Linked DNA regions of Stegostoma tigrinum. The protein of the gene in region 2 interacts with the protein of the main gene of each other region in a pairwise test. Links are inferred from orthologs where the notes say so. Each region holds a gene or a part of one and is shown on either strand. Other genes may lie near its edges.

Evidence for each region.
Region 1: the proteins of lnx2a (region 2) and c20h10orf88 interact in binary tests that used the Homo sapiens proteins (3 or more experiments, as listed by UniProt). The link is inferred for Stegostoma tigrinum from reciprocal best matches to the Homo sapiens genes LNX2 and C10orf88.
Region 3: the proteins of lnx2a (region 2) and srsf11 interact in a two-hybrid assay, tested with the Homo sapiens proteins (3 studies listed by BioGRID and IntAct). The link is inferred for Stegostoma tigrinum from reciprocal best matches to the Homo sapiens genes LNX2 and SRSF11.
Region 4: the proteins of lnx2a (region 2) and 5-phosphohydroxy-L-lysine phospho-lyase-like interact in binary tests that used the Homo sapiens proteins (3 or more experiments, as listed by UniProt). The link is inferred for Stegostoma tigrinum from reciprocal best matches to the Homo sapiens genes LNX2 and PHYKPL.

What each region holds. Positions count from the first base shown.
Region 1 is NC_081373.1:28,390,121-28,397,351, forward strand, and holds the start of c20h10orf88 (ATPase PAAT), read right to left. Parts: upstream 3,295-7,231; 5' UTR 3,263-3,294; coding exon 3,162-3,262; intron 1,118-3,161; coding exon 917-1,117; intron 1-916. UniProt on the Homo sapiens protein: ATPase that regulates mitochondrial ABC transporters ABCB7, ABCB8/MITOSUR and ABCB10. Regulates mitochondrial ferric concentration and heme biosynthesis and plays a role in the maintenance of mitochondrial homeostasis and cell survival.
Region 2 is NC_081359.1:78,386,644-78,394,781, forward strand, and holds the start of lnx2a (ligand of Numb protein X 2a), read right to left. Parts: upstream 3,239-8,138; 5' UTR 3,102-3,238; intron 2,824-3,101; coding exon of another isoform or gene 2,798-2,823; exon of another isoform or gene 2,143-2,797; coding exon of another isoform or gene 2,111-2,142; intron 506-2,110; exon of another isoform or gene 449-505; intron 1-448. Other genes in the region: si:ch211-140b10.6 (protein POLR1D-like), read left to right, coding at 2,798-2,823.
Region 3 is NC_081361.1:52,973,090-52,980,585, reverse strand, and holds the start of srsf11 (serine/arginine-rich splicing factor 11), read right to left. Parts: upstream 3,236-7,496; 5' UTR 3,025-3,235; coding exon 2,909-3,024; exon of another isoform or gene 1-2,908. UniProt on the Homo sapiens protein: May function in pre-mRNA splicing.
Region 4 is NC_081366.1:36,575,313-36,582,694, forward strand, and holds the start of 5-phosphohydroxy-L-lysine phospho-lyase-like, read right to left. Parts: upstream 3,127-7,382; 5' UTR 3,044-3,126; coding exon 2,985-3,043; exon of another isoform or gene 2,983-2,984; coding exon of another isoform or gene 2,969-2,982; intron 1,129-2,968; coding exon 1,010-1,128; intron 1-1,009.

The DNA.
Region 1 (7,231 bases), on a different chromosome or scaffold from region 2:
CCTACCTGGAGACAGAATTCTATCACAGTAGCTGCTGTTGGAATCTAAATCAGTAATTGCAGGAAAAGAACTCTATGCAAGATCTGTCAATATTGGAAACGAAGAGTCATGGTTCTTTGACTAAGTTTTGAAATGTCTCTCCCTTGACTATTTTTTTAAACCTGTACTGACATAGATGCAAAATTGGTTGTTAAAGCCAGCAAAGGAATTTGGACTGTGTATATAGGGCACTAGTATTATTAAATAGGCCTAAATTTGGAAGTGTTGTGATCACCTTTTTGGAGGCACAGCAAAACTATCCAGCATTAGTCTCGATCTTTAAACACAATCACATAGCATCACCCCTTAAACCAAACCATTGTCTAACAGTAACAAATATGTCATTAAATGTAAACAATCTGTTAATGGAACTGTACACTGAAAAACAGCTTCCTATAAACCACTGTATCCTCCTACACATAGCTGCAAGTGGACCTATTTTACTGTGTGTGTTTTTGGCAACACTGATAAGGTCAGCATTTCTTGCTCAGCCCTAATTGTCCTCAAGAAGGTTGTGAGAATTTGTCTGGAACTGAGTGGTCTGCTAGCCATTTCAGACAGCATAAAAAAATCAAGTATATTGCAATGGATTTGGAATCACACAAGCCAGACTGTTAAAGATGACAGATTTTTTTCCCCCAAAAGCAGCACTAGTAGGTCAGATGGTCTTTTTTTAAATGACATTCTGGTTGTTTCATAGGCAGTGTACTAGAGAATTTAAAAGGCAGTGAATTGGACCTTTGAGAAATATCAGAAGAATCTAACTAATGGCAAAATTTATAATAATCATTTAGAGTGCTCAGCTGATATTTTACAAACTCTATTAGTCTGCTGACTGCCGATTCGAGGTTAATACTGCGAGCTAAAACAACGTTACCCATTTAAATGTAGGTTGTCTAGTCTTAGGCCACGGCTTGTTCCGCAGTACTCTCCTGTGTAAACCTCCATCATTCTTGCTTCGCTCCATACCTCTACAAAGACTATGTCAGCAGGTTGTTGAGGAGAGAACCGTAGATAGAGTATACATGGAGTTTCCACAGTATTGGTTTGAGGCCGTTCCAAAGTAACAAGTTCTGCACTGAATCATAACAAAGGGAACAATGTCACCTTTAACTTAAAGTAAAACATTTTATTTCAAAGTTATAGCCTATTGTAATTTTCTTTTCGTCTTTCCATCTCAAATAGTGTTATATTTCTGGTATACCACAACATTTTCAATGAAGTGAAAATTGAATACTGATTAAATCAAATACTTCACAATTACGACATGCCGTTTGCAATTCAATAAAATTGTACTCCCGGAGTTTAGAGACTCAGAGGAAACCTAAATTGAGGTATATATTGAAGTGGACTGACAAAGTGGACATAAACAGGATGTTTCCTTAAATGGGGCAATCTAGAACATGAGGTCATAGTTTTAGGCTAAGGGGTAGAAGATTTAAAACTGAGATGGGAGAAATTACTTCTCTCAAAGGGTCATGAATCTGTGGAACTCACAACCCTAGACAAGAGGGAATGCTGGGACGTCAAGCAAATTTAAGGAGATAGATGGATTTTTAGTTAGCATAGGGTTGAAGAGTTTTAGAGAACAGTCAGGAAAGGACAGTTGAAGCTGAGATGAGATCAACCATGGTTGTGTTAAATGGTGGAACAGGCTCAAGGAGTTGAATTTCCTATTCCTCCTCCTAGTTCTTTTGAGAATAAGTTACTATGGTGGAATGGGAAAATATATGAAAATATTTAAGGTAAGCAAGTAATAGCTAATATTTAAATAAATATTACATGTTTACCATAAATATACCTTCCCCTAAGACATCAAAACCAACAAAAAGGGTGAGTCAAACATGGCTAACAAAAGTTAAAGTCTGCATTAGGTCAATGGAGGCGATTTAAAAGATTGCTAGAGAAAGCATTAAAGTTACTCTTATCCAGCCTGCCCCAGGGATTTATCTGAAACGAGCAAGGGTAATTGTCAGTGGGAAGCCTCCCTTGGCCAGTGAATCTAGAACCCAGAGACAGTTTCATTATAAGGGGTGGACCATTTATGATAGGGATGAGAGAGAATATCTGCACTCAGAGGGTGATGAATCTTCAGAATTCTGTATTCCAGAGGGCTGTGGAAGGTCAATTATTGAATACATTCAACACAGAAAGTAATGGCTGTTTTGATATTTAAAACATAATGTAATATGGGAATAGCTTAGCAAAGTGGCATTGAGGCAGCAGATCAGCAATAATTTAACTGAATGGCAGACAAGGCTTGAGAGTAGCAAAAGTAGACTACATTTAACATCACTTTATATCACAAAGAACTGACCAATCATCAAAATCACATTGCTTATTATGTTACCAAAAAGACAAAACATTAAAGTGTATTTGTTACCACCAATGAATGGAGATAAAGATAATAAACCCCAGGATTTATGTCTATTATCCAATTTTATTGTGTGCTAGTAATCTGGAAAGTTGTTTAACAACATCTGGATTTTCAATCAGTCATGTGTGACAAGCAGCCAAAGTACTCAGCAGCACCACCACAGGCAGTAAGATGGGTCAGCCATCAGGAGCTGGGAGTTAGGCTATGAATTTAATCGTCACAACGTTGCCCAAGTAAGTTTTACTTAATTTCACCAGAACCGTCTGCGGTCTGCCACTTAAGCAGGGCGAGTGGAAAATTCAGCTTCCCCAGGCAATGCCTACAGAATCTGCTGTGGTGGGTATTCCATGGGTAAGTCCCACCTACATTCAGATTAACGATTAAATAGCCAATGGTTCTAAGGGATACCATAGGCATTTTGACGGTATTTGTGGCATCAGCGGCGGCGAAATAAACTCACAATAGCAAGACTCTGTTTAAAAAAATCAAATCCACAATGAGAAGAAACAGCGGATCAGTCTTTTTAAAAAGATTTGTATTAGTGTCTACGTTTTGTCTATAGTCCAGTGGCTCGCGATAGAAGGAGGCAGTGAGGGGCTGGATGCACTACACTAACGCCGGGCCTGCACACACCCCTCTTCCCCGGAGTGGGAGTAGGGCTCCGGCCCAGTCTCCCCACCGAGCGGGGCCCTGATCCGGCGGGTCCCCGCAGAGACCACGAACCGATCCCTGATCTCCCCCTTACCAGGCAGCGACCTCTCCATCATCCGAATCGCACTCAGTGACCGAGACCCGCAACCGGCCCAGGCCGCACGGCCAAGCGGCTCGGACCGAGACCCGCTCCATCCCCGGCCGGAAACTGACAGCGCGCAGCCGCACTCCCTGGCCAGCGAGCTCAGCTCAGGGAGCACGGTTAACAAGCACTAACTAGCGCCGGCACAGCTCAGGGAGCACGGTTAAACAGCACTAACTAGCGTCGGCACAGCTCAGGGAGCACGGTTAAACAGCACTAACTAGCGCCGGCACAGCTCAGGGAGCATGGTTAACAAGCACTAACTAGCGCCGGCACAGCTCAGGGAGCATGGTTAACAAGCACTAACTAGCGCCGGCACAGCTCAGGGAGCACGGTTAAACAGCACTAACTAGCGCCGGCACACAGCTCAGGGAGCATGGTTAACAAGCACTAACTAGCGCCGGCACAGCTCAGGGAGCATGGTTAAACAGCGCTAACTAGCGCCGGCACAGCTCAGGGAGCATGGTTCACAAGCACTAACTAGCGCCGGCACAGCTCAGGGAGCACGGTTAAACAGCGCTAACTAGCGCCGGCACAGCTCAGGGAGCACGGTTAACAAGCACTAACTAGCGCTGGCACAGCTCAGGGAGCACGGTTAAACAGCACTAACTAGCGCCGGCACAGCTCAGGGAGCATGGTTAACAAGCACTAACTAGCGCTGGCACAGCTCAGGGAGCACGGTTCACAAGCACTAACTAGCGCTGGCACAGCTCAGGGAGCACGGTTAAACAGCACTAACTAGCGCCGGCACAGCTCAGGGAGCACGGTTAACAAGCACTAACTAGCGCCGGCACAGCTCAGGGAGCACGGTTAAACAGCACTAACTCGCGCCGGCACAGTTCAGGGAGCACGGTTAAACAGCACTAACTAGTGCCGGCACAGCTCAGGGAGCACGGTTAACAAGCATCAACACAGCTCAGGGAGCACGGTTAAACAGCACTAACTAGTGCCGGCACAGCTCAGGGAGCATGGTTAACAAGCACTAACTAGCGCCGGCACAGATCAGGGAGCATGGTTAAACAGCACTAACTAGCGCTGGCACAGCTCAGGGAGCACGGTTAACAAGCATCAACACAGCTCAGGGAGCACGGTTAAACAGCACTAACTAGTGCCGGCACAGCTCAGGGAACATGGTTAACAAGCACTAACTAGAGCTGGCACAGCTCAGGGAGCACGGTTAAACAGCGCTAACTAGCGCCGGCACAGCTCAGGGAGCATGGTTAACAAGCATCAACACAGCTCAGGGAGCACGGTTAAACAGCACTAACTAGTGCCAGCACAGTTCAGGGAGCATGGTTAACGAGCACAGTTAACCAGCACTAACTAACACTGGCACAGCTCAGGCAGTATGGTTAACCAACACTAACTAGCAATGGTACAGTGTGGAGAGCACAGTTAACCAGCACTGGCACACTTCAGGGAGCACAGTTAACCAGCATTAACAAGCATTAACCAGTACCAGCACAGCTCAGGGAGCACAGTTAACCAGCACTAACTAGCATTAACACTGTGTGGGGAGCAGGATTAACAGGCATTAACCAGCACCAACACAGCTCAGGGAACAGGGTTAACCAACTCCGACACAGCTGAAAGAGCAGGGTTAACTAGCAGCGACACAGCTCAGGGAGCACGGTTAAGCAGTACTAACCTGCACGGACACAGCTCAGGGAGCAGGGTTAACTAGCGTGAACCAGCACCAACACCTCTCAGTGACCAGTAATAATTAGCATTAACCAGCACCAACATAGCTCAGTGAGCAGCGTAAACCAGCTCCAACACAGCTCAGTGAGCAATGTTAACCAGGATTACCTACTGTAATACCAGCACCAACACATCTCAGGGAGCAGTGTTAACCAGGATTACATGATGAAATACCAGTAATAACATAATTCAGTGGGCAGCTTTCCCTGGTGTAATACCAGCACCATCAAGGCTCAGTGAGCAGCATTATCTGACATAATAAGACATAAGATATAGGAGCAGAATGAGGCCATTCAGCCCATCAAATCAGTTCCTCAATTTGATCACGGCTGATACATTTTTCCTGCCTTCTCCCCATAACCCTTGATCTCTTTGCTAAGCAAGGGCCTACTTATTTCTGTCTTAAATGCACTCAATAATTTGGCCTCCACAGCCCTCTGGAGTAATGAGTTCCACAGAGTCACCACCCTTTGGTTGAAGAAATTCTTCCTCATCTTAGTTCTAAGGGGTCTTCCCTTCATCCAGAGGCTGTGCCTTCAGGTTTTAGTCTGTCCGATCAATGGAAATATCTTCTCCATGGCCATTCTATTCAGGCCTCTCAGTACCCTTTAAGTTTCAATCAGATCCCTCCCATCCTTCTAAATTTCATTGAGTACAGACCCAGAGTCCTCAACCAGTCCTCATATGACAAGCCCTTCATCCCTGGGATCATTCTTGTCAACCTCCTCTCGACCAACTTCAAAACCAGCACATCCTTCTTTAGATTTAGGTCCAAAACCACTCATAAAATTCCATATGTGGCCTGACCACAGCCTTATGCAGCCTCAGCAGGACATCTCTGCTCTTATATTTTTGCCCTCTTGTAATCAATGCCAACATTGTGTTTGCCTTCCTAATCGTCATCCGAACCTACATGTTAACTTTAAGAGAATCCTGAACTAAGACTCCAAAGTATCTTTGCACTCCCGATTTCCAAAACTTCTCCCAAATAGAAAATAGTCTATGGCTCTTTTATTCCTACCAAAATAAATAACCTCACACTTTGCCACGTTGTGTTCTATCTGCCATGTCTTTGCTGTCTTGCCTACATGTCTGACTCATTCTTCAGTCTCCCCACCTCCTTAACACTACCTGTCCCTCCACCTACTTTTGTGTCATCTGCAAGCTTAGCAACAAAATCTTCAGTTCCTTTGACTCGATGGTTAATGTGTAACGTGAATATCTGTAGTCCCAACACTGACCCCTGTGGAACTCCAATAGTCACTGGCTGCCATACTGAAAAATACTCCTTTATCCCCACTCTCTGTTTTTTGCCATTTAGCCAATCCTCTGTCCATGCCAGCACTTTACCCCAACACTATGGGGTGTTATCATATTCAGCAGCCTCCTATGCAGCTCCTTTGTCAGAGGCATTCTGATCGTAACAGCTCAGTGAATTGCATTAACCAGCATTACCTGCTGTAATACCAACACCAACACAACTCAGTGAGCAGCTTTGCCTGGTACAATATCAACATTAACTCAACTCAGTTACCAGTCACCACCTGGTGTATTAACATAATTAATTCAACACAGTGACCAATCTCTGCCTGGTGTAATAACAGCACTAATGCATCTTCATGTCCAGTCACTGCTGGGGTAATATTAGCATTAGCTCAACACAGTGAGCAGTCACTGTCTCGTATGATATTCGTATTTAAATAACTCAATGACCAGTTATTACCTGATGTAATATCCATATTAAAAAAAACTTGAAAACCAATCATTTCTTGGTGTAATATCAGCAATTCCAAAGCTCAGAAACTTGTCATTGCCTGGTGTAATACCAGCATTAACACCACTCTGTAACCAGGTCTCGCCTTGCTGTTGTATGATATATACTCCGACATTCATATTTTCTATGTGTGTGGGTTCTTTGGGGTGACACCATTTAGTGAATGTGACAATAGACACTTCCAGTCTTATAAGAAGCATTGTGTACATTAAACAATACATAGTTCATTACATCTCTGCAACTATCTACACGTAATAATAAACACTACATTATTACACTAACTTTTAGGATGATCAGTTAAACATCTGTTTTGCACAAAATCCTACTTTACTTCCAACCAAATCCCCACAACAACATCACAGTGAGTGGTGCAAGTAGGTCTTAACCTTTTCAGATCCAACAACAACAATGTCAGATCAGCTTAAACCCAATTTGGAAACTATCATTGATAACAAGGTGAAGAGGTGGATGAACACAGCAGGCCAAGCAGCATCTCCAACATCTGCATTTCCTACTATCTCTAAAACAATTTTAACCCCACTGTGAA
Region 2 (8,138 bases):
GTGTGAAAGAGGGTGAGTGTGGGTGGGGTAAAATTGTAGTGTAAGGGTGGTCGGTCAGGTGGTTAAGGGGATAGGTTTACTGTGGATGTATGGTAGGTGAGACAAATGGTTGAGGAATGGTTACGGTAGCACATGAATGCAGTGGATAGCTTGGAACAGTGGGCAAGATGGTATGAAGGTAGTCAGGTTGGCAACAAATGGATTGGGTCAGTTGGGCATGAGTCAGGGTGATTTGAGGATTAGGCAGGGTAATTGGAGTGTCAGGAGGAAAGCTTGTACAGTTGCAGGGGTAACTGGGGGGAAATCAGTGTAAGTGGCTGGGAGGTAAGGTTGGGGAGACAGTTGGATAGCTACCCAGGAGTGAGACCAGATTTTGTCCTGTTCCAACATTTCCTGGGTAAGTGTTCAGCAAATAGATGTATATGATCCAAAAAGTCTCCTACTATACCTGAGAATTGGAAACATTTTCGGAGGGCCCCAGAAACAAGGCATTGCAGACCAAAAGTTCAGATTCATCAAGTCCGGTGGAGTCCTTCCACTGGGACTTCTAAAGAATTCAATAACATACAGACTGGGCTTACTCCAGAAAATAAGTAAATGAAGACCAGGAGATCTGGGCTATTATTGCTAACTTATGGAAACCAGATGACATCAAATCAGTATTTATTTCAGTCATTTACTTTCATAAATTAAAGAGGTGCATAAATTGTCCCAGTGTTCAGCAAGGTATCATTATCTTTTTGATCTCACTGGACTATTATCAGCTGGCACTTCCAGTAATTTGACGGCAAAAAAACTAAACTTGCAATTGCAAATCAAGCTAATGGGGGAGACTGCAAATTCCTTGTTCCAGACAAATCTGATCCCACTGATCCAACAATGATATATATCTCTTGTTTCTTATTTACAAAAATTGCAAGGATTTCTAGTAGCTATATGTACATCACAGTACAGAATAACAGGGGGTTTCACTGATCAATTTTGTTACTGCTGAACAAAGCAATTCTAAGTACAAAAATGAATATATAAATTAACATCCTCACAAGTACCCCTTAAATGAAATTTTTGGTGCGCAAAGTGTTAACATTTCAAATTAAAATAAACATATTCAAAACATTCAGATATTTTTCTTTGCTAAAAGTACACAAACAAAACTCAATCCAGAATTATTAAGTGATTGTAAAAATGACTTTTTATTAAAAAAACACAATATGGCAGTATTTAAAAATCAATAGTAAAATCGTTCAATTCGAAAGACGTAAAAAACATACGATTAAAATTGTTTTAAATAAAAACTGCTTATCTTAGGCTTTTCCATTAATTTAAAATGATTGCTGTTGAGATGTCATAAAAATATAAGTAAATCACAAAACAAGTGAGCTCTACACTTTACCAACGCAAGAACGTTTTCTAAACTGACCACTTCTACTTCAAATATTTGCAAGGTTAAATAGAAACTTGAGTCAATACTTGATGCATGGACAAAACGACCTGAACGACTGAACAAATTAATAGATTAACGAGAAGTACATCAATATTACAGCGGTGAAATGAAATTTCATTGTTAAATATCAACGTATTATTCGCCTTTACAAAAACAAATTACTGCGGATACTGGAAAACGGGCAGGTGGTGGACAGAATCAATTAAACATCTGTTTGTTAGTGCTCTCAGAGTGGCAGGTTTTATGTTGTCCATAAACAAGCACATATAGATATATATAAATATACACATACGTCTCCCTTCTGAGCGCAATAACAAACACTCCTGAAAGCATGGCGAGACGTCTAAAATGCACGAAGTCAAATATCAAAGCAGCCTCAGCAATCTATGCAACAAGCGGCTCTCCCCACATCTCAATCCAGCAGCTTCCCAGATAACGGTCACATCAAAAACGTTCTCCTGCAGACTCTGATTTATACCAGCGAAGCGGTATGGGAAAAATAAATCAATCACCGGAGTAGGAAGATTTCACGTTAAAAAGACTGAGTTGGGAGGGGTAGGAGGCGCCTGCATTTCTCTCACACACTCCCTCCAAGATTCTTCGTCGTCAAGATACCAATAACTGCGAAATAAATATCAAATGGGTTTTCCTTTACGTTTACTTTACCTTTCGTGGTGCAGACAGCAAACACTAACCATACAGCGCCATACAATTCCAAGAAATCGTGCAAGTAACTGAATGTTTCAAGGCGATTGGTGAACATTCACTGCGAGAACTTCGGTTTTAGTGTTCAAGATTTGTACAGAAGATTACCAGTCAAATAAACTTGCTTAGTCGGGGAGCCACATTGACAGGACAGACATCCAATTACAATTCGAGATGCCACAAAGATCTGCCCACCGACGAAGGCAGGCGTGAAAGGCAAACCAATCAAAGCGCACGACAATGTCACCGCTTCCCCTCCTGTACCCCCAAAATTGCAGCAAGTTAGTGTGAAGCCGACCTGAGGAAACCTTTCTGTCTCTTAACGTTGCCTGCACGAATGGGGAGAGCTGTAGGTGGTTTGTATTTACGAAGGGGAGACAGAAATGAAGAGACAAAAATAATTTCCTGGAGGAAGTGAATGTTATTTCCCGTCATTATTCACAACGACCATGTTTCAGTCAGCTGTTTCTTTCGGAGCACGTATGATCAGGCGGCTGAGATAGGCCATCCTGCTGCGGACAGTGGAGGGGCGGGGAAAAGCTGGGCTTTCGCGGTCTCCGCGGCGGCTCGCTCCGAGACGCGGCTTTCAAAAGAAACCGAAGAAGTCGCGAGCTTCAGAGCAGTGTTAGAGTCGCGCGAGAAGTTGTCATGGAGAAAGATGGCGAACTCGAGAGGTAAACAATATCTAATGACTTCAGCCAGAGACTATGTTAATGTCATTATCAGCAGCACAGGGGCTTACTGGCCCTGTCCTGTGTGCGGTGTCTTGGCAACCGACTCTAAACAAACCCGATTCAAATTTTGTGTAAGAGATAATGGGAACTGAAGATGCTGGATAATCTGAGATAACAAAGTGTAGAGCTGGATGAACACAGCAGGCCAAGCAGCAGCTTGGGAGCGCAAAAACTGACGTTTCGGGCATAGACCCTTCATCAGAAACCTTTCTGGTTACCTGTTCGATATCGCGTTTGTTGCAGGCCTCCTCGGGCGTAGCGTATTCCCAACTCTGTATACAGAATGTGTATATCTGTAAAAAACATACCAGCCCGGTGTGACGTGTTCCGCCTCGCAAATCTGGCATGTCATGGCCATTCCCCTCCCGCCCACAACCTCAGCAAGGGTTATGGGTCAGCTAGTGCCGACATAAAATTCAGGCTGCCCTCTGACTATACATGCCAGAGAATATGCTAGGGTTCAGAAACCTGGCACGTTACCATCCATGATAACAAGGTGTAGAGCTGGATGAACACAGCAGGCCAAGCAACATCAGATAAGCAAGAAAGCTGACGTTTCATTTTCTGAAGAAGGGTCCACACCCGAAACGTTAGCTTCCTTGCACCTCCAACGCTGCCTGGCCTGCTGTGTTCATCCAGCTCTACACCTTGTAATCTCAGATTGTCCAGCATCAGCAATTCCTACTATCTCTGAATCAACTTTACCATCAATGACGTTACCATGTCGCTAGCCTCGCAACTGGAACATACTGTATGAACAGCACTATGCTTATCACGATCCTTCAGTTACTGCTCATATAATTTTGAAAATCAAATCAGCACGTGGAATAACACTACAGGTATCCTAATTGCATTTTTTTTGGAATGTCTATTCAGAGTTAAACTGAATTTGTTGCACTTGTAGCACCTAACATAGCAACTGAAATGAAACAAAGAACTGTGAATGCTGGAGATTTGAAGCAAAGAAAAACAAAAGAGCTGGAGAGACTCAACTGATTTGGTGGCATTTGTGGAGTGAAAGCAATGTTTTGAGTCCAGTGACCCTTCTTCAGAACATAGTAATTACTTAATTTCATGTGGGATGTAAGGCCCACTATGACATTGTCCAAGTAACATGTATTTGCTTGACCATTTGCAGTTTTTATTGTTTACGTAATGTGCCACCCCTGGTCTACTCCAAGGCTGGGCAACTTGAGGTTGGCAGTATTTACATTTTGGTGTTCTTAGGGACATAACTGTTGTGCAATATCTCTGCCCAGGAGACCTCGGTTCGAGGTCTCTGAACCTCTGAACAAGTTGGTTAGAAGACCTCTCGAGGTGTAATATGCCCAAGATTTGTGGGGTGGTCAACACCACAGCAAGGAACTCAGCAAATCGCACCAATCTGGCCACCCTGGGCTGTATTATCTGCATACATCTGTTTCAGTTCTTTTCAAGGCCTGTCTTGAGATTTTTTTGAATTTCAAAGTCTACTTTGTTCATTTCCATTAACTCCATTAGATGATACATTCATGTGATAACATGACTGTCTGTGTTGGTGTTGATTTTTTTTCTTCAGTTTTTATGTCATTTTAGTAATCCAAATGGAAAGATTGCAGTACACAGCAGATTTTCCAATTTTAAGACAAGGATTAATTAGTTCAAAAGAGCATGGTAACCATGTGTCAATGCTATAATCTGAAGTGCTATTCCCCATTCCAAATTACCCTTGAAAAGCTAGTGGTTAACTACCTTTTTTTGAGTACACCTGAGTAGTTTGCTAGTCACTTTCAGACGTCTGCTAAAAGTCAATTACATTGCAGTGTATTTGGATTCACACGTAAGCCTGAATGTTTAAGGTTGATCTCTTTCCCAAGAGAACATTAGTGCATCAGGTGTTTTACTTTACAACAGTGCAGTTGTTTCATTTAAGTTTAAATTCCCTTGCAAGAAGGGAATTTAAAACATAAAAGTATCTTGCCACACATCTGTCTTCACTGCTCCATGTTAGATGCCTTGATATCTTATGTCTTATATTAGAACCCAGATACCATTTGCTGTTCAGTGCTTAACCCACATGGAGGCTGCATTTACATTGCAGAGTCAACATGAGGTTGCTCTGACACTAATTACAGTTAATGTGTGGCCAAAGCAGAGAAACACCAGAGTGAAGTGGAGCAGAACAGCCTGTAGGAGGGCTTTTGAATCAGTCAGGACGCAACGTGGACAGCTCAGTTTAAAATTCATGACAAAAATTAAAACTGATTTCTAGCAATCTTGAACTTTACTACAAATGCATGCTTAGCAACAACCTAACTAAAGTCAGTAATAAATTTAGGGTAAAAAACACTTAAAGATGTGGCATCAGTATAAGGAAATGGATTAACAAATTAAGTTGTTTGGAGTGTATGATCCACTATTATCCAGGTTTAACAGTTGGAAATGATGAGGCTACAGCTTTGAGGCACATGCCAGACAGGGAATACAATGTGCATGTCTTGTTTGCACGCTTTAGTCTTTATCACCATATCACTCTCCTCTTTCCTGGCTCAGGCTCACCACAGCTTACTAAGGCCACAGTGCCAGAAGCTGGGCTTCATGCACACACCATCCTCATTCTATCTCTCCCACATGCGGGGATGACATTTCTCTCATTTGTCATCCCTGCATTGACTTTTTTTTTGCAGTCTTTTTAGGGCTTTTGAAGGCAAATTCATCCATTTTTTTATAGTATTATAAACTTTGATAAACTTGGTTCCATCAAGCATGTTAAGCACGAGCTGAAATTTTATTACTTGATTCTGTGCCCTTTAAAGCTGCATTATTTTTATTTCCTAGCCATCAATGTGGATCAGTTCTCAAGGGACAATACTTTTTTTCTATCTATAGACACTGTTGAGATATTTTCTGAATTGAAGGTCATGCATTGAAAAGTTGTACCGTATATAAAGGGGAAAAAATCATTATTTTTGAAATGTTATCATAGTTATGCAGTCAAAATGTGCAATCATGAGAGACAATATTAATGCCTCTGAAGCATCCAGTGCTAATAGTAAAGAGAACTGTTCGAAGTAGTTTCCTAAACAATAGAAAGATAAATTTGCATCAATAATTGGAAGAAAATGTCCTTTGTCAAAGAGCAGAAAGCTGCATTATACAGGTGTTAAAGGGCTTATACAATTGGCACACTTGCACTGCCCCTGAAAAATTGCATAGTTGACAACAAGATAACGTAATTCACAATTTCCTGAGATTAAAATCATTTGTCTAAAATATTAGTGCTGATTTACTGAAGTTAGTTTATATTTATTATAAACAGCACAGTTTCTATAATTCTTCATTAGCTTTCATTGTGTGAACCGATTTGAGGTTTTGTTGTTGAAATAAGAAGTGTTGTTTTTATTCAAAATGTGGAATTTATTCTTCTTTTCTAAAGGTTTTGGAGTAGATTTGTAGCGCGGGTTGTGGGTGTTGAGGTTGGTTGACTGGCCGAGCTGGTTTGATGTTTCATTACCCTGCTGGGTAACATCATCAGTGCAGCCTCTGATGAAGCGTTGGTGTGTTTTCCCGGCTGGTTTTTAAAACTCTGGAGTCCGGTGAGCTGGATTGCCTCACTTCCAGTTTTCCTTCGTAGTGGAGTGTATATGGTGGGACAACACCAAAATCCTGGGTAAGCAGAGACATGCACAGGAATTCATAGAAGGCTGGTACTCCATGAAGTATCAATAAACACGTAGAATTCGACCCCCCACATACACGCCACTACAAAGGAAAACCGGAAGTGAGGCAATCCAGCTCAACGGACTCCAGAGTTTAAAAACCAGGTGGGAAAACACACCAATGCTTCATCAGAGGCTGCACTGATGATGATGTTACCCAGCAGGATAATGAAACGTCTGCGGAACAACAAACCAGCTCAGCAACCAACTTCAATTTTTTTTTCTGTATTGGAAAGCATAGGATTATGTTTACCTCGTCAGCAAGTAGCTCTACAGGACATTTTGATTTATATCTGAATGTTAGTTTTATCAGCTTTGACATTAAGTCGATGCCATGCCCACTATTTCAAGTGAATGTAAAAGAAAACTGTCATGCCAGTCCTTCATGGGAAGTTCTGGTCAATATTTGTTCCTCATTCAGTACCATTAAAAATACAGATTTACTAAACATTACCATATTACTTTTTCTGGGGCTGTCACATTTCCTACATTCCAATACCTGTTTTGCTAGGAAGAAACAATGTTGAGGTTCTTAAACAGTGTAAATCACATGAGGGCATGAAATGTGCTGTAAATGCAAAGTTTTCTTTACCGCGCGTAGATTCAACTTTTTACTATCTTTTTCCCAATTTGGATATGTATTTGACATTTAGGGTGACTGCTGTAACATTGATTTAGAAAATCATTTGCTTACCAAGTATTCTACATTAGCTGTACTGTTCCAAGAAGCAAAGAGGTGCTGAAATGGAAAATGCAAACAATATCATTTATATCCTTTTGGCTTGTTTTATATATATATATACCGGTTTTTAACTGTGGCTAATGCAAGTTTAAGAGTGGAAAATATTTAAGTATTTGTCCAGTGCTTTCATGTTTGACACAAATTAGTTTGTAGCAAAATAAAGTTGCAACTAACTTAAAAATGATATGTAAACCTTCACCTAGAGTGGCTTAGTAACACCGTTGTTGACCAAGCTGGCTGGGTCCTAAAGGAAAAAGCAGCCTGATATTATGTTGTCTGCCATGTTTTTGAAACATAATGTGGGAAAATGTGAGTTTATGCACTTTGGCAGGAAGAATAGAGCAGTTGGATATTATTTAAATAGAGAAAGACTCCAGAAAACTGCAGCACAGTGGAGATTTCAGTGTCTTCATGCATAAGTCACCAAAGGCGTTCATTGGGTAATAGGGAAGGCAAATGAATTGTTGGCCTTTATTTCCCAGGGAATGGAGTGTTAAAAATGAGGAAGTTTTTGCAAAAACAATACAAGGCACTAGTTAGACCACATCTATAATACTGTGAACAGTTCAGCTGCCTTCACTCAGGAAAGAAGCAGCAAAAGCGGAGAGGTCCCTAATGTATACACCAGCAGTAGAGCTGCTTCCACAAAAAGAAGTGTGACATCACAAGAAAGCTGGTACATAACTTGTGAGCATTTCTCTCATCTCTTGTGACTGGATATTGATTTAAATTGAAGCCATAAATACATCTTACAAACTTTACATAAATAATTAATATTTTAGAACAGCAAAACTGAATTTCTTCATTTGATAGAT
Region 3 (7,496 bases), on a different chromosome or scaffold from region 2:
TGCAGTTTTAAATTGTAAATGTCAATCATACTTGAATTGTGTCAGCAGGATATTATGCTTGTGGACAGACTGCCACTCCTGCCATGGAATTACATATAAACTATTTTCAACAGAGATTATATTCACAGCCTCTTATTTTACACTAAGTTCAAACTCAAAACCCTGATCCCATCTAAGATTTTGTCTCTTGTGCCAACATCGGAATCAAGACTTAAGTATAATGTGAACATCTGAACTAGGAAGTTAACTCTCCACCATTCAATAAGAGTTTGGTTGGTTGATTTACTCAAAATTCACACTTATCCCTATAACCTTTCATACTTTACTCATCTGAAATCTAATCAACATTTGTCTTAAAAACATTCAAAATACTCTGCTTCTAATACCTTTTGAGGAAATGTCCCAAGACTCTTTGTAGGAAGAAAATCTTCCTGTCTTTAAAAGATTAATCCCTTATTTTTAAAGCATTGACACTTAGCTCTCTCACACAAGAGGAAATATGCTTTCCACATATATCCTGCCGAGACACCCCTGAATCTTGTGGTCCAATCTTGTCACTTATACCATCTCAGAACTATGGAATACCCTATTCTTCTTTCCAAATCATCTAGACACTGGACTAAATATTAGCATCATTTTACGAGCAGTGATAATTTATTCTTCCCTGCAGTGCTGTCCTCTGGACTCTGGTTAAGTCATCTTTGTTCATAAAAAAAACTTCCAGAAAACCATTATCCAGCAAGTAACTGTTGAGCATAAAAAAGCATTAGTTAATAAGTTAGCTGATTTATGAAGGGATAAGAGGTATACCTCTGATATCAAAAATTAGGAAGTAGCTATGATAAATCAGTCACCAAGTTTAACAAAAATAATATTTGAAACTATCTTTATGCATAACAACCTCAAAAATTTTTAAGTCAATCCGTACCCAAATTCTTCGGGTTTAAGGTTGTTTGCTTGCTCGCTGATCTGGCTAGTTATGACAAAGACGTTTCAACGCCATGCTAGGTAACACCAGTGCGGCCTCCAATGAAGCAATGTTGTTCTACTCCGTTTGGTATTTTTACTATCTGGTCTGTTAAGCTGGTGTGAGTCACTTCCGGTTCTGTTCTGCATCGGTTTGTATGTGGGGTCTAATGTCACACGTTTTTGATTGCATAAGGGTGTATAAACATCAGCTAGTAGCAAAACGACACGACGAACTGTCCCTCGTCTCGGCACTCAGACAATAAAGGCCATCAATTTAACTGGGACAGTGTGACCATCGTAGCTCAAGCCAGCCACAGATACACACGGGGAATCCTAGAGGCCTGGTTTTCAATCCATAACGCAATCAACAAACATGTGGAATTAGACCTAATATACAAACCCATGCAGAACATAACTGGAAATGACACAGCCCAACTTAACAGACCGGATCACATTAATACCAAGTGGAGCAGAACAAGGCGGCTGGCATTTCGGGCCTAGACCCTTCATCAGAAACGTAACATGTCAGCCTTCCTGCTCTTAAGATGCTGCTTGACCTGCGGTGTTCATCCAGCTCCACACCTTGTTATCTTGGATTCTCCAGCATTTGCAGTTCCTATTATCTCGGAGTAGAACATCATCATTTCATCGGAGGCCGCACTGATGACGTTAAGTAGCACAGTGACGAAATTTCTGAACAACAACCAACCCAGCAAGCAAGCCAACAACTTCATCCACAACCCAAGCTACAAATCTTCACGAGCTTTAAATCTTCAGGTTTAAAGCATGTACATCTTTGCCTAAGGAAACAAACAGAAAATACCTGAAAAGATAATTAAGCAACGTAATTAAAATGTTACAGGGAACTGTTCACCGTGCCAATAATGCCACTTTAACAACCAAGTCTCAGGAGAGAACAAATCATAAATATATACAAGTATTATAAATAAACACTGTACAAATATAATGATTCAGAGTCTCAAGCAATATTCGAAAAAGGATAAAATGTTTAATGTTCAGAATCATCCTTCTCTAACGTAATATGCATTTACCGATGTGCGTTCCTTTCAAAAGATGTTGTCAAGTCTTGACAACAATAAAATCAGTTATAATTTTCTCACTTTTAAAAATAAAAACCGACTCATCCAGCATCTGCAGTTTCCATTATCTCTCATTTTTTAATTCCGTCTGTTTTTCGGCCGAAATTACAAATTGAGTCAATGGCTAACGGCTTTTGTAAGACCATGAAAATTTCACTTTACTTGTGTTGTCATACGCCCATTTCTCCTTCAGTAGCCTATTTACTTCCCCACACTTAAGAAACACGAGGTGTAGGCCGTACGACACTTGAAGTCTGCTTCTGAACTGCTCGCGCTTTTCTTTTCCTCACAAAATGTAGCCAATTTTATTCAAAACACTGTTTAACACATTTAATAATGATTAGTAGTAAGTTCACAACATCATTGAACAATAACGATCGAAAACAAGGATCGTCTGACAGGATTGACGAAAGGTGTTACATTGGCGGCCATTTTGCTTTACCCCGGTAATAATAAATCCTCCAAAGCTTGGGTACCTTCAAATAAACATCTTTCAAATAAGAACATTCTCGTTTCATTTTTTTTATTCAAAGAACACCGTCGATATGAATCCTGATAAAAACAGCTTGGAACATGTGGTGGGAATAAAGGAGATGACGCGTATGAGATGGCAGCGAGTCCAAACGCCACACAATAGAGGAGAAAAATTGCTACTTCGTAATCGTTTACGAGGAAAGGAAGAAAAAAGTGAATACTTTCACTCAAGGATTATATCAAGTCGTACGCTCATAAAACGTACGCCCAACAGAAATTTACTTTCACTCAAAAAGGAAAAGTCTTAAAAGCGGATCCGACGCGGGCTAGGCCCCAGGCCTGTCTGGAAGTTTGGAGTTACTCACTCTGATGGGAAGAGCCGCAACTCGTCGATTTTGCCCAGAAACCCGAACAGAGTTTTCATCTGCTCCGAGGTGGCGCTCGGCGACACATTGGTCACTTGAATGACGTCTGTAGCCATCTCGCGTTTTTAAATAAAGGTTTTATTTTTTTTAAAGTAATTACTTTCTCGATCCAATTTTTTCAACGACGTTTTCTTGAACCTAAGACATTAAGAATACAGAAGAAAATAAACTATATATGACAATTCACAGATAATTTAATCGGCACTGCAAACTCCCGGGTCTTCGCCCCGAAACCTTCAACAACAACGGGCAGGCTCCGCGGTATCCCACAATCCGGCGCGATTCAACGCGCAAGCGCAGCACGATCCTTCCTTCCCCTGGCGGCGGGCGGACGGAAGTGAATATCTTTCTGCCTAAAAATCCGGCCTAAGCGACTACCATTTTCAGGAGATTTCGGAGCATTTACCATCACAAAAGAAATGCAAAGTAAATAACATTTCTGACTTGGAACATCTGTGGAGAGAAGCAGAGTCAATATTTCTCAGATGTTACCAGACCTGCTGAGTGTCTCCAGCAATATTTATTTTGTTTCGGATTTCCAGCATCCACAGTTCTTTGTTTTATACCAACATTACTGCCTTTACGGTCTTTCTATTTATCAACAAAAGAAGTCAAGTTTTCTTCCTCTTCAGTGCCTGTCATTTTCAGTTTCTTGGTGCAGTGCTTTTCCCACAACAAATGCTTCAGAGATTTGAAATATATTCCCAGAGGATTTAGAAAGTGTGGAGCTGGATGAACACAGCAGGCCAAGCAGCATCTCAGGAGCACCTTGTGTTCCTGACATGCTGCTTGGCCTGCTGTGTTCATCCAGCTCCACACTTTGTTATCTTGGATTCTCCAGCATCTGCAGTTCCCATTATCACTGATATAAATAGAAAGTGTTGTGAACAGTAAGACAGGCTGCATCTGTGGAGAAAGCACAGTTAATGTTTCAAATTAGTATTTTGTAAAGTGGTGAGAAGCTTCTAACCAAATGCAGCAGCAATGTGGACAACTTTCAACTTTTGTGTAGATAAATAAATGAGCAATGCTCATGCCACACAAGTTCCAAGCAATGCATAAAAGAAAGTTTAACCACTTCCCCATAACATTCAAAGGCATTGCTGAATCCTGCTCTATGAACATCTGTGTGTAACCCTTGACCATGCAGAAACTTGGAACAACCACCATATATAGTAGGGGAATGGAACACTTTCCCTGCAATGGTAGTAGATTCGCCAACTTTAGGTACATTTAAGTCGTCATTGGATAAGCATATGGACATACATGGAATAGTGTAGGTTAGATGGGCTTCAGATCGGTATGACAGGTTGGCACAACATCGAGGGCTGAAGGGCATGTACTGTGCTGTAATGTTCTATGTTCTATGTTCTATCATGCCACAAGTCCAGGTCAGAAGCTGAGAATTCTGCAACAACTTACTCATCCCCTAACTCAACAAAGCTTTTCACTATTTACAGAGCACAAACCAGGAATGTGATGCATTACTTTTCACTTGCCTGAATAAGTACAATTCCTTCTGTTCAAGATCTAGGGCAAGGTGAATTGCACCATATCTACCACTTCAAACATTTAGCTGGAGTGTGTACATTTTAGAGATGCACTACAAACATTTTTCAATGCTACTTCCACAGCACCTTCCAATTCGGGACTTACACCACCCAAGACAACAAGGGCACCAACAAGGACATGGAACACTAGTCATGTACCATTTTGACTTGGAAATTTATCACAGTTCCTTCAACATCCCTCCTTAGGAAATGTTTCAATTACCTGAGTCCCCTTCAATCCCAATATTCTTTCTGAGAATCAATGAATCAAACTGAGTACTTGATAATTTCAAAATTATATATCTCTCGTTTTCAATGGAATGACACAGTATTTTTTTCTCCACTTAATATCATTACCACCTGCAAATATTAAAGTTGAAGCTTGAAACAATAATATTTTGGGGGGCAACCTAAATAAAAAATGTCAATGTCTCTTTAATGAGGTAAAAAGCTATTTTCGAACCATTAATGGGAAAACCTACGTAAAGAAGCTTAATGTGTAGGTATAACAGGCAATTATCAGGAAAAAGAATGAAACATTTTTCACATGATGGTCAAACCTAGATGAATTCCAGCTTTAAAAAAGCTGCTATATGGTAGTTCTAATGAGGAGGAGGTCTTAGAAATTGATAATATTGAAAAACTAAGTATGTTTTTAGTTCAGAGACAGAATAAGAAACAGATGTCACATGCATTTTCTTTTGTTTCCAATTTCTTTGTGTAAATGTAAGTTATTAAATCATATATTCTCTCTCCAAGTTCAGTTTGACAGCTGTCTGCTGAAAGCTACTGAATAAGCTTGCAAAAGTATTCAGCAGAGAACACTTTCAACAATCTAAAGGATTCCTCTGCTACTAGGAAGTGAGACAGTTGTTAAATACATAGAACGCCATCAAAAACTGCCAGCAGCCTTTGCAGGGATTGGGGTACAATTCTAGCCTTCGGTGACTGTGTGAAGTTTGCATATTCTCCCCACGTCTGTGTGAGTTTCCTCCCACAGTCCATAGATGTGAAGGTTAGGTGGATTGGCCATGCTAAAACTGTCCGTAGTGTCCAGAGATGTGCAGGATCAGCCATGGTAGATGTGGAGTTATGGGGATGCGGTAGGTGGCTGAGTCTGGGTAGGATGCTCCTCAGATGCAGATTTGATGGGCAGAATGGCATCCTTCTGTAGGGATTCTATGATTCTATAAACATGAGTATTTCCATTATCATTTGTGACATAGTAGTACATTTTTATTTTAATATACAATCTTCACAAAATACTAATGCATTTTCTTTTTTAATATTGTATTTGCCGATTTAACTTTTTAGTATGTTACTGTATTCAGTTTTGCTGCAAAATGTCAAAATTATCATCAAATCCCTCCAGTGTGGAAACAGGCCCTTCAGCCCAACAAGTCCACACCCCTAATCTACACATTCTTGAACATAATGGGCAATTTAGCATAACCAATCCACCTATCCTGCACATCTTTGGAGTGAGGGAGAAGACCCACACAGGTATGGGGAGAATGTGTAAACTCCACACAGCTAGTCACCTGAGGGTAGAATTGAACCTGGGTCCCTGGTGCTGCGTAGCAGCAGTGCTAACCTCTGAGCCATTATGCTGCAAGTAAATTTTGTTACGCCATACATCAGTCTTGTGTTTGTTGCTTTTGTTCACTTTATAGACATTCTCAATCTCAGTGTTGGTTCACTGGGTTCAAATATCACTTTAGTGACTTGAACGCAAAGTGTAGTCAACCACTCCACTGTAGCACTGAGGGAGTGTTAAAATATCATAGATATTTTTGTACGCATAACATGTTAAACTGAGACCTTGCATGTCCACTTGTGCTTGTAGAAGCTTGTATGTTTCTGTTTATATTGCAGGTAAATCTCCTGTTACTTTCATTGCTGCTTCCCATTCTTATCCATGATGTCAATGTGCTTCAGACTGATGCCAACAGTAAGAAGTTGATTCAAATAAAAGCAAAATACAGTGCATGCTGGAACTCTGAAACCAGCACAGAATACTGGAGAACACAGCAGGTTGAGCAGCATCCACAGAGGGAGAAAGAAATTTAATATTTTGAGCCTGGTATGACTTCAGAAGAAGAGACATTTCAGACTCAAATATTAACACTGTTTCTCTTTTCACAAAGGAGTTGATTCCCCTTCCAAGATAACAAACTGTGTGGCTGGATGAACACAGCAGGCCAAGCAGCATCTTAGGAGCACAAAAGCTGACGTTTCGAGCCTGGGCCCTTCATCAGAAAAGGGGATGGGGAGAGGATTCTGAAATAAATAGCAAGAGAGGGAGAGGTGGACTGAAGATGGAGAGAGGAGAAGATAGGTGGAGAGGAGAGTATGGGTGGGGAAGTAGGGAGGGGATAGGTCAGTCCGGGGAGGACGGACAGGTCAAGGGGGCGGGATGAGGTTAGTAGGTAGGAAATGGAGACGCGGCTTGAGGTGGACGGAGGTGATAGGTGAGAGGAAGAACAGGTTAGGCAGGCTGGGACGAGCTGGGCTGGTTTTGGGATGCAGTGGGGGGAGGAGAGATTTTGAAGCTGGTGAAATCCACATTGATACCATTGGGCTGCAGGGTTCCCCAGTGGAATATGAGTTGCTGTTCCTGCAACCTACGGGTGACATCATTATGGCACTGCAGGAGGCCCAGGATGGACATGTCGTCTAAGGAATGGGAGGGGGAGTTGAAATGGTTCGCGACTGGGAGGGGCAGTTGTTTACTGTGAACCGAGTGTAGGTGTTCTGCAAAGCGGTCCCCAAGCCTCAGCTTGGTTTCCCCGATGTAGAGGTAGCCACACCGTGTACAGCAGATGCAATATACTACATTGGCGGATGTGCAGGTGAACATCTGTTTGATATGGAAAGTCATCTTGGGGCCTGGGATGGGGGTGAGGGGACAGGTGTAGCACTTCCTGCAGGTGCAGGGGAAAGTGCCAGGTGTGGTACGGTTGGAGGGGAGTGTGGAG
Region 4 (7,382 bases), on a different chromosome or scaffold from region 2:
ACAGAAGTGTCTCCTTAGAGAAGGAGCACGCGTTGTCCAACAATACTCTCTCGATACTTTTCAGAAGAGATGGGCACTGCGGGGTGTGGAGTGCCTTATTTCCCTTCCCCTCACTTTTTTTCCTTTCAGGTAGGCTTTGCCCCGATGGGCTGTGCTTGATACTGATTCTTTGGCTGTTTTTCTTTCTGCTGGTGGTATGTTAATAAAGTTATTTGCAAACCTGGAGTTTTTCTTTAAACTGTGTCTCTCACCTACACATGCACAACAAGGGTACTGGAGAACTGGGGGGGTTGGGGAAAAAAGGGGATTAAATAACTGGGGGGGGGGAAAATATGCGTATATATATATCAGGAGATTAGAAACTCCTCTGCTGAAGTGACTGACTGAGCTGGCAGCCAAAAAGAAATAAACAGTCTAGGAGCCAGCTCTGATCTAGCTGGGTCAGTGTCATGTACTAGGCACATGTAAATAAAGAATGACTTGATGATAGGATACCAGCCTTCATGGAGTTATTTTAGAACCAAATAGTGATAAAGCTATTTTAGATGTAGTATTGTTTACTGAGACCTAATTAATTCATAATCTCATTGCAAAACGTGTAATGGTAAATACAGTTGAATTTCATACGTTTGAAAGTGACAAGACTCTTAAAATTTTTAAATAAAGCCAATTTAAAGAAACAATTCAAAGTATTCAGTGAAAATAAATTCCACTTAAAAACGAACAAAACCTTAACAAAATAGATTCATCCAGGCCTTAATAAGACATTAAGCATAGCATCAGATTAAAATAGAAGGTTTATAATATTGCAAGGAATGGTGGTAAATTTGAGGAATAAGAGTGTTTTAGATTCCAGCAACTGATGATTAAAATGTTGCGACAAGAGGGGAAAAAAGTAGAAAGCAAAGTAGCCAGGAATATATTAAAAAATTGTAAGAAGTGTAAATGTTACGCACAGCTTCCCTAATGGTTATGTAAGCTTTGTCATCCGTTTAGATGAGCTTCTTACCATGAGCAACATTATTAATACAGTCCAAATATTTTCTGTCCTTTTCATCAAACATATATTGCCCCTGAGCTCTGACAATCTTGATAGGGTCATCAGGAAAAAAAAGCCTGCAAGAAGATCTGAAAATAAAATGTAGAGATCACAATATAACTAAATCATTTATAGATTTTTGAACCTTTTATTCTTTTAATCTTTCCTAATGCTATTTTTAAACTGCACTATACGTTACCATTAAAACAAAACATGAAGTCTTTGTAACACAATGCTGTCTTAATGAATAAAAACACAAAAAACAATAAACCTTCATTCTAGTTAGCTGTCCACAGTACAGGATTTTTAAATATATGCTGGTTGTTCATAGAACAATACAGCGCAGAACAGGCCCTTCAGCCCTCGATGTTGCACCAATCTGTGAACTAATCTAAGCAACCTCCCCTTACACTATCCCATCGTCATCCATATGCTTATCCAAGGACTGTTAAAATGCCCCTAATTTGGCTGAGTTAATTATATTGGCTGGCAGGGCATTCCACACCCTTAGCACTCTCTGATTCTTTGTACTGGACACTTATATCCTCTGAATTCTACACCATGGCCCTTCATAGGTTCATATTTGAGGAGAATGAAGCATTCACCTGGAGCTCAGATATGCCTCAAAGTATAATCACACATTTAAGTGTGCTATAACATCTCTTTTGTAGTTATGTGGGTACGGGTAGGGATGCATTGGTTAACGTTTTTAGTTGACACTGAAGGATTTTTTAAAGAAATTCTATTTACTTGTAATCTCAAATACACCAAATTTTGTAAAATTGAAGTAACGAGAATCAGAAGAACTCATTGGGTTAAACTTATGATAAAGGGAGATTTGTGGTTGTTGAACACCATTCACCACAGGCCAGGAACTCTGATGCCTCAGTGCAGCATTCCAAGCCCAAATATCTTCAGTGCTTTGTCAATGAGCTTTCCTCCACTATAAAAAGGTTAGAAATGTTCAGTTTACAGTGCAATTCATATCTTCTAAGATACTGACTCAGTCTGACCACATTTACTGAAAGAGTTGGACATTTAGGCTTTGTACTAAAATTGTGGCACGGAACATTTGCACCAGACAAGTGCTAAGTAAAAACCATTCCCAACAAAGGAAATTTGAACCGTTTCTTTTGATGTCAAATGATATTACCAATAATGAATATGCAACCATCAACACCCCAGGATTTACCATTGACCTGAAAGTTAATTAGGAGAGCAACATAAATGCTGTGGCTACAACAGGAGCTCAGAGGCCAGGATAGAAGAGGACTACCTGCCCTTATTTTGATGGCTTGTCTCACGTCTTTTAAAGGCCTTTTTGTTTCAATTTTAGGACAGCCCCATGACTGACTAGGCTGCGCCTGAAAGTTTCCTTTGTTTTTGTCGCTGCTTATTTTGTGAGCGCAGACAGTAAAGTTGTGGCCAGTTACAAAGCAGGAATTAGATCTATTCCATCCCACAAACTAGGCGTACTTTATTTTGTTTCAAAAAGTTAGCCATTTGCCTGGATGAAAATAATCCAATAAGGCCATCTACTTGAAGGACAATTCATTCACTACCTTCAACACTCTCGCCACTTTTTCTTTGATGAAGGGTCTCGGCCCGAAACTTCAGCTTTTGTGCTCCTAAGATGCTGCTTGGCCTGCTGTGTTCACTAATCTATCCGCTAGCCACCCTTTAGGAGCTAAATTTAGGAACAAACTGTACGTGAATGTTACATAAGCAGCCCTCCAGGAATGTCTCCAATCAGCTCATCTACTCAGTAATAACACTTTCAATTCTTCACGCTACTTTACATAAACAGTGAGGGGACTGATACAAGGACCTGCAATTCGCTCATTGCTGATAAGGCTGAAACAAACCGCAAACATGGTAACATGGACTTTACTCCGCCTAGCCCCGTTATAAATCGCAGCGAGAGCACACCTGACTGAATACATACGCGATGTACTTCTTTCGGAGAGTTAAGGTTTCTTTTTTGTCGTAAAGTTCAGAAGCCATGCTCGGCTACAAGTTATTGGTCTGTCCAAGAGTCACATCGGTCTTGCCCTCTTCCTCTGCATACGTCAGCACTTGGCATTTGTTTTAGCAGAAGCTGGATTTCGCCCCCCCGCGGTGATACAGTGTACCACTGCTGCACGGTCCTGCTAGTTTATTTGGCATTTGATTGATAGGGCGCGGTCATGCAATAACGTAATCATGGCGTTATAGAAGAAATACCACTAATGTGTTTACCGCTCGAGTAGTTCGCATGGTCTTAGAGACACCCTGTTCTACCCAACAAGTAAGCTCGTGGACCCGGTTGTTTTGAAACAATCGTAAATGCTTGTCCCGAAAATGCTTCCAAGAAAACCAAATGATTATGGTCCGTATAGATAACAATATTGTCCTTATTGTTGATAATGTATATGCCAAAATGCTGATCAGCCGAAGCAAGACCTATTGTCTCTTGTTTCAGTAGTTGAATATCTTTTGTTCACGTGGTAATTTCTTCAAAAAATAATTGACAAGCCATTCATCAACAGCCAGTTCGAACAGCTTTGCATACTTTGGCACGGTTTAAAACAGTACCATTATTGGTACAGCTTTCAAATTTTTAAAGGGAAGTTAACACCCATTCAAATTTCCAGCTTTTTAAAAGTGCAACAGTGCACTTTTAAGTGTGATAGAATCCACTCGTGCCAAAATAATGCATAATTTCACATTTTGTCTTCTACATGGAAAATCAAAGCAGCCTGTACAGCTGCTTCTCTAAGTGTGATTTGACCGTGTCCCATAGTATGGTACAAAGAAGTCACCTTGGCCCTAGCACATCATTCTTATCCATATTTACGGCTAACTTTGCTTTTCACAGCCAAAGAATTTAATCAAGTGTGTAAATGCTCTTCCCAGGCTGAGCTATAAGCAACCAAACGTAAACGACAGAATTACCAATCCTTGTATCTCTTTATCAGTTAACCATTGAAACATTGCTGGTGCATTTTTTGTTCCAAATTGATACAACTTTGGACCAGGTAAGTCCATCTGCTGTAACAAAAGCCAAAATTTCATCGCCCACTTGGTTAAAAGAACTTGCATTTAGTAACTCTATTTTAGGAATGGGCGTGACCAAATAATTTGACACAATCCTCCAGTTTTGGTATAGGATATGAATCAATTGTCATAACCATACTGACTTTATAATAATCAACTTGGAATATTTGTGACTCATCCAGTTTTGGCACCATCATGATGTCTCCAGCTACTTTGATCCAGTTCCATAAAGTCATTGCCTATCATAACCTTTCTGCGTCTGAGCTAATCTCTTTGGATTGAGTCTAAACAGGTTTGCTTTATAGATATTGCATTCCCCACATTAACATCACGTATAACCAAAACGGCCTTTCCTGGCCTATTCCCATGGATTCATTTATAATTCTGTGTTAGCCTTTGTAAGTCACTTCAGTAGTTTTCAAGAAGATAAGACATGATGTTATCTAATCTTTTAGCTTCCTCTGTATTTTCCAGTTTGATTTTTGGAAATTAACTTTTGAATTTTCCATTTCAGATTCATTCTTCCATTGCACTAGCATTTCTCTTTAACTCTCTACTTCCTTCGTTAGACTAAGTACACTTTCTCTCGATTGCCATCCCTATCAGTGTATCTTTTCAGTACATTGACCTCACACACTCACTGACATTTTCTTCTGTCTGAAGTGCTTATTACATAATTTATACCATTAAGTCTCTCCTTAATTTGCTAAAGTCCACTGAGCCTTGCTTTTAATGGTTCCCCACAGACAGGCAACAACCTTCCCTCCTGCAACAAAATTTCAAAAAATCTCTGGCCTTTTTGCCTGTTCTAGTTTACATTATTTGTTGACTTTCCTTCAAATGGTTTTTTAGTCAACTCACATGTGCTAGTATGATTCTGTCTAAAATTTGAGACATCAGTTGGAAGTGTTGTTTCTGAACTTTAGTTTATTAACTTTCTGAAATCATTTTAAGTGGTCATCTTATTTGAAAGAGACCAAATTCTATGGACTCATTCCTCTAATGGCAAATAGTAACAAAAGAATACCCAAAGGAATTCTGATACCTGGTTTTTGGTAGGGATCCTACATAATCAGACATCACATGACACTAGATTAAAGTCCAATAGATTTTATTTGAAATCACAAACTTTCAGAGTGCAGCCCCTTTGTTAGGTGCAGCACCTGACTGAACCTGATGAAGGGGTAGTGCTCCAAAAGGTTGTGAGATTTCAAATAAACCTGATGTTGTGTGACTTCTGTCTTTGTCCACCTGGGTCCAACACTGGTACCACCACATTATGGCTACCATCCTACATAACCTATTAAGACCCTGCTAAATGTTACCACAAAAGCTAGTATTGGAAATACCCATTTCTGAAGAAGGGTCTATGCCTGAAACGTCAGCTTTCATGCTTGTCTGATGCTGCTTGGCCTGCTGCGTTCATCCAGCTCTACACCTTATTATCTCAGATTCTCCAGCATCTGCAGTTCCTACTATCTCTGAAACAATTTTAACCCCACTGCGAAGCCTCTTCTAAGGATGCCTACTTTGAAGAAGTTACTCTCCTCCCTCCGGAAAGACCTCAGTGGATCTCTCTCCCACTGTGACTCTCTTGTAATCTCTTCGGCCACCCCCCATTTCTGAAGAAGGGTCTAGGCCTGAAACGTCAGCATTCCTGCTCCTCTGATGCTGCTTGGCCTGCTGTGTTCATCCAGCTCTACACCTTGTTATCTCATTGGAATTAATAGTACAGATTTAGTTGAGGTTTGGGGTTTCCCTACAACCTGACAATTATATCTGCTGCTTCACTGATCTTGAACATTTGATGCTTATCTAAGTAACTTAAAAAACTTGCAGAAGTGTTACCTGTGAATTCTTCCATGATCATAATTTCCCTTCCATTTTCCACCCACTAGCTTGAGTGACCTAAACCACTGATTCTACAGCATTTCTTATTCCCTTGCAAATTCCACAAATGTCTGATTTGGCTCTTTCTTATAAGTCCTAAATTTCAATTGATAAACTTCAAGCACAAATTCATAAGTTTTGAGTATTACCTCTTTGATAGTTTCATACGCTGCAGATTGTTTTTCTGACAAGGTCATTGTTATACCTGTCAAAACATTGTAGTCACTTCACCTGTTTAGCTGCCTTCTCAGTTAAGGTAAAATATCTTCTGACTCCATCCTCATTAAAATTTAGGCACTAAGTTTAGAATTTTGTTTAATCAAATCCCTCATTGGAATGAGAATCATCTGAATTATTGCCCCTTCCTCCCTTTCTCATTCTAAGCTTTTCTTTTGCTATCTCATGTTCTTTAGTTTCCTTTTCTTTTTGGAGTTCAAATTTTCTTTATTCCATTTCTCCTATTTTTCTCTGTCCTGTCTTTCCATTATTCTCCATTTTCTTTTCTCTTCACTTCCAAGTTTTTAAATTTCTCTTTTTCTAAGTGCAGTTTTGTTTTTCATTCCTTACTGTATTTTAGCTAATTTCAGCTATGGGATCCCAATTCTAAATATTGCACTCCAAGTTTCTCATACATATGAGATCTTGCTTTTATTTCTGCTGTCAATGTGCCTGCTAAAAATGTCAGTTTAGCTTTAGTCAAAGATCTTAAATAATTCTTTGACAAGTCTTCCACTTCCAGAAAACACTTAGCAACTTGAAAAACCATCTTTAAATTTTGCGCAATAAACTTCACCACAACACAGCTGCTGTATATCCAGAACCACTCTGTAGCTATGACTTTAACACGAAAGACACAGATCCCTCTTAAATCCAGTGAATTTAAAAATCCTATCAAGAGTCCCTGCTCGTTCTGAGCCCGGCTGATGTTAGAACTTGCACTGATAGACTATATTTTGATTTGTTTTGGTTGTAACACAGAGGTCTCTCACAGAAACGTTAAGTTCTGAGGAACGGTCGCTGGACCTGAAACATTAACCCTGATCTTTCTTCACAGATGCCGCCGGACCTACTGAGCTTTTCCAGCTACTTCTGCTTTTGTTTCTGATTTACAGTTTTTTCGTTTTTTTTAAAAAAGACCTCTCTTATCCTCTACACTGGAGTTTGGATCATAAAACTATCAATGTGCATAAAATCCTATTAATTTGAAAACAATTTCTTAGAGAAATTATAATGGCTACTGTTAATTGTTATTTTCAAACACACAGAAAAACCCATTGGTTACCAATGCAAAAACCAAAATACTAAATTTACAATAAATATTAAAACATATAAATATATCCCACAGTTTATGTCAAATTATTGTGTAAAAACATTACATTCCTTAGGCATACAAGTGTTTGGGCTGATAGTAAACTAT